Linked DNA regions of Danio rerio. The protein of the gene in region 1 interacts with the protein of each later gene in a pairwise test. Links are inferred from orthologs where the notes say so. Each region holds a gene or a part of one and is shown in the gene's direction. Other genes may lie near its edges. The genes, in order: npat and hinfp.

What was found.
Region 2: the proteins of npat (region 1) and hinfp interact in a two-hybrid assay, tested with the Homo sapiens proteins (2 studies listed by BioGRID). The link is inferred for Danio rerio from reciprocal best matches to the Homo sapiens genes NPAT and HINFP.

What each region holds. Positions count from the first base shown.
Region 1 is NC_133190.1:28,005,820-28,009,648, forward strand, and holds part of npat (protein NPAT), read left to right. Parts: coding exon 1-15; intron 16-1,941; coding exon 1,942-2,051; intron 2,052-2,139; coding exon 2,140-2,230; intron 2,231-3,076; coding exon 3,077-3,829. UniProt on the Homo sapiens protein: Required for progression through the G1 and S phases of the cell cycle and for S phase entry. Activates transcription of the histone H2A, histone H2B, histone H3 and histone H4 genes in conjunction with MIZF.
Region 2 is NC_133180.1:31,212,673-31,217,108, forward strand, and holds the start of hinfp (histone H4 transcription factor), read left to right. Parts: upstream 1-1,401; 5' UTR 1,402-1,819; coding exon 1,820-1,982; intron 1,983-4,201; coding exon 4,202-4,431; intron 4,432-4,436. Other genes in the region: dpagt1 (UDP-N-acetylglucosamine--dolichyl-phosphate N-acetylglucosaminephosphotransferase), read left to right, coding at 5-70. UniProt on the Homo sapiens protein: Transcriptional repressor that binds to the consensus sequence 5'-CGGACGTT-3' and to the RB1 promoter. Transcriptional activator that promotes histone H4 gene transcription at the G1/S phase transition in conjunction with NPAT.

The sequences.
Region 1 (3,829 bases):
AGACCTATTCGCCAGGTGAGTGAAGTGTTAAAGGGATAGTTCACCAAAAAATAAAAATTGACTAATATTAAATCAGTTTATTTGTCAATCCCTATATTATTTTATTATTTTTCTGACAGGGTATTAGAATGACAGATGTGAAAGTATGTTGTGAAACTACTATACAGGAGTTATTATTATGGATTATACATAGTGAAATTTAGATTCATCAGTTTGTATTTTTAATATTTAAAAAAAAAAAGCATGACTTTCAAATACGAATGTTGTTCAATACTATGGTGGGCCATTATTGGCATTAACAAGAGACTTTTATCGCACAAAAATAAATATCACCGTTGATCTATTCTCAAAGTTGGTTTGGGAGCTGGGTCTATTCTGCGCAAGCTATGATGACTTTCACCTTGATATTTTAGCACAGATGTAAACCTGACCGGTGAGGCATCTGACGACAAAGAGCCCTTCTGAATCAAATCAGCAGGATGCCTGACTAACTGCTGTTCATCAGTTTCACTTTCACTCATGAACATTTCATTCATGCATTTTGGAAACGGGAGATGAGCCCCTGGTCTAATGCGCCACCTGGCTAGAGAAACGCGTTCTCAAAGACTTAATATTTGGCTAGCACACACTGAATGCCTTCGACAAAAATCAAATGAGCCATTTTAATCTAGATTAATCTACATTAATTCCGAGAATAATCTAGATTAAAAAAATTACTCTATGCCCACCTATAATTAAAACATATCCTTGTTTGTTGTAAAAAATTTTTAATAAGAATACCAAAAAATACTCCTTTGTGTATCTCCTGACTCGTGCCTGCAGCCATGTTGCCATTGTAGCTGCTGTATTCTGAGAAATTTTCGTATGCCTTGCTTTCTAGTGTGGTTCTAAAGGCTGATTTATACTTCTGCGTCAAGTGCACTTGTATGCTTTGGTGTAGCCTTCATACGGTCGCATAGCCCTTGCTGTGGCTGATGCGCATCTCTCAATAAAATGTAACTACACATCACAAGCTGTGTGATTGGTTGACTTGTTAGCTGTGATGAGTGTGGGCGGTGCTGAGAGCCACGAGCCTGTTAGAGTGAGTGTTTACAAGTGTCTGGTCTTATGAAGGAGCTCCAGATAGACTCTTGTTTTGTGTTTACCTTATGATTACAATTGTTTCATGCCCGCCGGTTCCTGCCTCAGTCAGAATGAGTGAGTTTAACTATTTGTACATTAAGGTAGCATTCAGAAAAAAACAGAACACCCGCAAAGAAACTTGACACGGAAGAACATAACCTCACTGCCTGCTAGCATTTCGGAAGTGTTATTGCAGAGCAACACAAACAGCATGCAGAAGTATAAATGCACGAGTACGCACAACATAGGCGCCGTGGGTCATGCCAATCACTCAAAGCAAAAGTATAAATCAGCCTGGAGTCCTTCAAGCTAAAGAGAATTGAGACACCCCTACCCCCTCACAAAAACGTGCAAAATGAAGGGGAAGGGCTAAGGGGTAAAATTGGGATTGGGCCTAAGTCTTACCTGATTTTAAGAAGGGTCATCAGTAAAATTAAAGGGATAGTTCACTCAAAAATGAAAACTACTCGCTATTTACTCTCCCTCAAGTGGTACCAAACCCTTATGAATTTACCTTTTTCTGTTGAAAAGAAGATATTTTGAAAAATGTTAGAAATCTGTATTGTACTCTGATATAAAAGGAAAAACAAATACCATAGAAGTCAATGGTTACAGGTTTCCAGCATTTCTTTAAATAATTATTTTGTCTTCAACAGAAGAAAAAAAGGTTTAGAATAAGTGAGGGGTGAGTAAATGATAACAGAATAGTTTTGGGTGAGCTATTTCTTTAACTTGATTATGTTCAGTTGATTATGTTATGTTGAGATACATTCTTTTTCTCTTCCTGCATGTTTGAAATTCCAACTTTTTTATTTTTAGGCTCCACTATTATTATATCGTCACCTGTTCAGCCTATGTTACAAAATGTGGTGCTTCCAGTGTCTGTTATGGGGCAGAATACTGGAAAACTCACAGTCCTTCCAAATCAGGTCAGTATCTTTGTAGTTTTTTTTTTTTTTAAACAATGCTAATTTCAGTGTCTTAGTATTGTTTATAATCTTTACTCTTTAAATACAGATGTTGACTTTGCCACGTTCAACCACTGTAAGGCAACCTACGAAAGTAATTTCGCAACATAAACTGGCACCCAAGGAAAACACTGACACTGGTAAGACAGACTTAGTTTTCAGATTTCTTTTTTTATATCTTTTTTTTCTAAATTAAAACTGTTGCAACACACACATACATGTTGACAAGGGACTTTTCAAAAGACTATTATGACATGTTTAACAGGCATCAGCATTTTAAATTCTTAAAAGTTTTTAATATATTATTTTTTTAAATGTATGAACATTTATGTTTTTATGTATGTATTATATCATCTTTGCATCAAATCATGAATTGCTGCTTGTGCGCGGTGTTTGAAATGCAGCGTTCATGAGGCGGGACAGTAAATATGACGTTCTTCTGTTTTCTGGCTGCCATTGTCAGTCCTACATACACTTTTTTGTTTCTTTTTTTTTTCTTACTTTTTCACCATCATTTCACCAACACCATCATAGTTTTTTTTTTCAGCAAATAGGATTGTAATTTTTTTTTACTGCACTCTACATTTACCCAACCATGATCACTTCTGCTACTGAGAAACCTAGAAATCTGAAAAGGGTCTATACATGTCTTAGTATTATTCATTGTATTAGCTTTAAAATCAACTACCACATGGTGAGGCCTTGGTGCGATTGGTCTTGTGGGTAATGTGGTACAATAATGTCAAAAGCAGATCCTCCAGTTCCATTACATTGTGTGGTATTAGATTGGGTACATGTCAGGTTAATTGGGAGGCCAAGACATTAACTTGATTCCAACATTATGTTTCTCAAACCACTGCTTGACAATTGCATTTTATTAATGCAAATCTTTTTTTTTCTCTTTCTCCCATGTCTGATTTGAAATTAACTAGTTATTTAATAACAGTTTTTTAAAAAGAGCTTACTATTTGTTTACTTCTTTTTAGCCAAAACTGGCACACCAGGCTCTGTTCAAGTTTCCAAAGTGCTTTCCCAGACTTCTGAACAAGAAAAGGGTGTAAATGGGTCAAGCCCCAGCCACCGGCGGATACTTTGCTTTGACGTCACGCCTGAAAACAATGCAACTGGACCAAATTCCTCACAGACAAGCATGCTCACGTCCTCTGCTGTTACATCCTCCTCGACTCAAAAAGAAATCACACCCACTAAAGCCAAACAGCCTTCAGCTTCTGACACATCCAAACGAAGAATAGAAACAACTAGACTTCCAGAAGTAAATACCAACACGGGTGCAAAAGACTCCACAAAAGTCACCATCTTTCATCAACAAAAGGAAGCTCTGAAAAGTAGTGTGACTGATAAAGAACTTAATATAATCGAAAGTACCAAGCCTTCACACAAAGAGTCTGTTGTTATATCAGAATCATCACAAAAATCACAAAGCAAAGATGCAGGGCCTTTAACATCATCTGTCCCGGGGCCAAAACAGAAACCATCAGACAACTCGAAAGAATCATCAGGTGAAAAGACTCTCTCAAACCCACCAGAAATGTCCTCAGAGAAAACATCCTTACAAGATTCTCCAGGCATCACTGCTAATAAAGAAAATGAGCTGGAGAGCAGTCAAACACTAGCACGTCCCACTGACAATCTCGTACCATCTCCAGCAAAATTTGCAACACCGTTATTAAATTCTTCCAGTAAAACTTTATGCAAAACGAGCCCTCTGACCAAACAGG
Region 2 (4,436 bases), on another chromosome or scaffold:
GCAGGTTTTGGGGAGTGCTGTGGCATTTGGCATTCGTTATCACCTTGTGCGTCTGTTCTATGACGTCTAGAAAACTTGAGAACCTGAGATACTCTACAACTTGCTGCTTTCATTTGGACAAACAACTGAATCAACTGATTTTTAATATATATATATATATATATATATATATATATATATATATATATATATATATATATATATATATATATATATATATTATTACTATCTACTGCCTGTTTTCTATAAAAATCTCATTGCAGTACAGTGTATTTCAGCTCTTCTGTTTGTGTATCTGCATGTGAAGGGACAATCTACACGTAAGCCCCCAATACTCACTGGGACATGAAGGCTCTGTAAATAACAATGTCAGCATGAGGATTTCCAATAATGTGGGGCATCCTGAAAAGCAGACGGTTCTATTTTGAAAAATTATGTGAAGCATTTACATTCAGGGATATTTTAGACAGTTGGTGTGAACATTTCTGAAATATTGCTGAAACACATGTGCACTTATATTTTTCTGTGTCAGAGCAAATAACATGACTCATTTGAATAAACCAGTGTGACAATGGACCATGTTAGCTTCAAGAAAAGAAAATGGAGCATTCAAACTTGAAATCCAACATAACCAAAATATGCTGATTGTTTTGATAAAAAATAAAAAAATATATATAAACCTATAGTGTATTTGTAGTGTGTCTAGCTGATATATGTAGAGAATAGATAATTGTTACCCACATAAAGACACTATAGTGTTTTGGAACCATACTACAGTAAAGCATTTTAAACTGTGTATATTACAGTATTTGCAACAGTTAATAAATGCTACCACATACCAGAGAATTAACTATAGTGAACTGATAAAACTAAAAAACATTGAAGTACAGTTAAGTTAGCTCTACAGTAAAATGTGGTGTATTATAGTATATCATGCCCTATATGATTGTAGAAAAATTAAGTATTGGATGATTTGTTTATAGTAGTGTAGTTGTATTACCGCAGCAACTATATAATTACCACAGATTAATTCAAGTACTTTAGTATGGTTAACAATAGAATATAACTTTCATTCACATTTACTGTTAAAGTAGAATGATACTGTGTCCACTCCAAACAGAAAACAGTGTCGTGCATCAAGTAAAATCGTTTTGAGCGCTGTGAGACATTCATTTCTAGCCAGTGAACGCATTGTGCAATCCGGAACACTTGAAAGAATTTAGATGTTGGAGGGAACGATTATCATGACGTACAGCAAAGCTGCAATTTGATTGGCTTAGATTTGAACGCAACGCCGCAAAGATGATTTCTGATTGGTTTCTTTAATTTCTGGGCAAAAAAGTGAGGAAATGTTTCAAGTAATTGTTAAAGGTGAGTTATTTCTCAATACTTTTAAGCACCTGTAACTGCTCGCGCCCACAATAATAGTCTTGAAAGAAAACACATTCGTTTATTATAACCCGAAACTAACAAAAATGCTTCAACCAGCAAAACGAAGGCAGAATGTTAACTTGCCCTTTTTGTTGTGCTAAGCAGCTATGCACCATGCTAGCTTAACAACTCTGACTATGGTTTCATAAACCTGTTTGTGCTTTCGATGTTTAATAAGCTTTCATGTAATGGATGTAATCGTTTTGGTGGAGTTCGTGTGCTGAAAATCGCTGTGTGTTGTTATTCAATACAAACAAACTGACACTTGGCTTGAGCTGCGGTGTGCAGAATTTAACAGTCATATTAGGTCTCACATGTGACGTTTCTGTTATTCAGAGGACTGGAGGACCACACGTTGTGCTTTATATTCAGTTTTATATGCTGTATAATGCCCCCGTCAGCCAAACGAGGCCTGCGCAGAGAGGAGCTGCAGATGGAGCTCGTCTGTGAATGGGGCTCGTGTCAGGAGACGTTTGACAGGATGCAGGACTTCTGCCAGCATGTGGAGAAACACTATAAAGTCACCGTGGACAACAAGACAGACTTTCCAGGTGCGTTAAACATGTGGAAGGGCCAGGGGTCAAGATACGTCAATGAAATGTATTTAACCTGTATTTAGCTATTCACTTATTATCCTGGTTAAAGTATATATTTTACCCCCAAAAGAAAAAAAAAATCTGTCATCACTTATTCAACAACATGCTGTTCCAGATCTTTTTTTTTCTACTGAGATCGCTGAAAACAAATGTTTTTTTTGTGGGAGGAGATAACACGTTTATATAACATTTTAATCTTACACCGAAATGAGAACAAAAGAAGCAATTAAACCAACAAAATAAGATAGCAATACCTGCTGTGACAAGTTCCAGTTAGTCATGTTACAACGTTTGTTTGTTTTTTATTTATCTGTTAGGAAAATGAACCATAAGGAATGGAAAGTGCCAGTATTAGTATTAGTGAGTATAGCAGAGATGCAAAAGTAGGGCCCACAGGCAAAAGTTGGCATATGGTAACCTTTGAATTGGCCTGCCATGCCATGTAAAAAGAGAGGGAGAGAGCGATGGAGAGGTGGTTGGGGCGAATTTTTGGGGCTGTTTTTGACAGAGATTGTCTTTTCAAATTTAACGTAGCTTTTTGCTTCTTCATTTTATTGCTGAGCTACCAAAAAGCCAAATGAAATTAAATGATTGGATTAAATGTTGTAGATGAATCAGACTTTTAAAATGTACATACGGTCACTTGACAGATAGAGGACAATGCACAAGATATCTGTGAGCAAATTAAGGTAAACGCAGGAGCAGCTTGACTAGTGTATTCTACATTTAACCCCATTGTCTTATAAATGGGATTGTTTATGTTTTTACTTTAATGAGTTCATTATAAAATGTTAAAAAATGATTCTGCATTAGTTAATATGATTTAAAGCAATGTTTCTAGTTATTTTTAAATATTACCAAATAAATTAGCATATTACCCTTAGCAAATAGAATATATACGGTTTGGTGGGTATTTGGCCCACAGCCCTCAATCATCTTGGCCCTTGGGTTTTTGACCCTTTATAGGAAAAAGTTTGGGCACCACTGGAGAATAGCATTGAAAAATGATGCATCTTTGGTCATATGGACCACTTTTTATGGTTTTCATGGATATTTTATATTGTGTTTTTATAACCTTTTTTAAGTTTGCTATTAGTCACCATTTATTGTCAGAAAATGGAAAAGGCCAAAGTCAGGCATTGTTCAAAATATCTCTGTCATAAAGCTGTCATAATATTCTCTAGTCTCTTTTTATTGTCATCTGAAACATGAAATATATATTTTTAATAAAGTTTGAAAAAATTTTGTTCATTTGTAAAATATGCATCACAATAAAAAAACTAAATAATAAAATAACATTATTAAAAAAAAAACTAATTATAAAATGCATTGCAAAGTACATAACAGAATTACTTCAGTTGAAACTAAAATGAAAGCTGAATAAAAAAACTTTAAGAATTTTTTTTAAGAATTTACAATTCTCAACTAAATAATACTATAGAAAGTCTAGTTAAAAGATTATGATCAAAGTTTTAGTTACAAGAATGGGTTACACTATTTTACACTCTTCTTGTTACAGTGAAACTAACTATATTTTTTTACTGAATAATGATTAACTACATGTACTCACTATATGGTTACTGCTTGTATTTATGAATAATAAACTGTTATTACTTTAATATCTATTTTGGGTGGCGCAGTGGGTAGCGCTGTCACCTCACAGCAAGAAGGTCGCTGATTCGAGCCCAGGCTGGGTCAGTTGGCATTTCTGTTTGGAGTTTGCATGCTTTCCCTGTGTTTGTTTAGGTTTCCTTCTGGTGCTCTAGTTTCCCCCGCAAGTCCAAAGATATGCGGTACTGTTGAATTGAGGAAGGTGTAAATGAGAGTGTATGGGTGTTTCCCAGTGACTGCTTGCAGCTGGAAGGGCATCTGCTGCATAAAACGTATGCTGGATAAGTTGGTGGTTCATTCCGCTGTGGTGACCCCAGATCAATAAAGGAACTAAGTCAAAATGAAAATTAATTAATTAATATTATTATTATAAAAAAAATTTATTTCACTCGGGGGCAGTCGTCTAGTCACTGGCACACATTTATCCACTGTTTGTCTGTCTGTATCAATGTTACATCATCAGAGGATTGTTTCTGAGTGTTGAGCATCTCAGCTCAAGTTTTCTGGCAGTCACTGGCTCTGCTGGCAATAATCATAGCTTGGCTTGCCTGCCTGTCTTTCAGAAGAGGAGCATAACTGTCTGTGGCGAGACTGTGGCTTCTGCTCAGTGGAAGGAGATGAAGAGTTTCTCAGACACATATTCTTCCATTGCTACCACACCAAGTTGAAGCAATGGGGTCTTGCTATACTCAAGAGCCACAGCGACATGGGTGCCTGCTCCGTCGGCCTCCACAACCGCAACATCGTTCCTGAGGTCCAAGAGAACTTCCTCTGCCTATGGGAGCACTGTGAGGTACA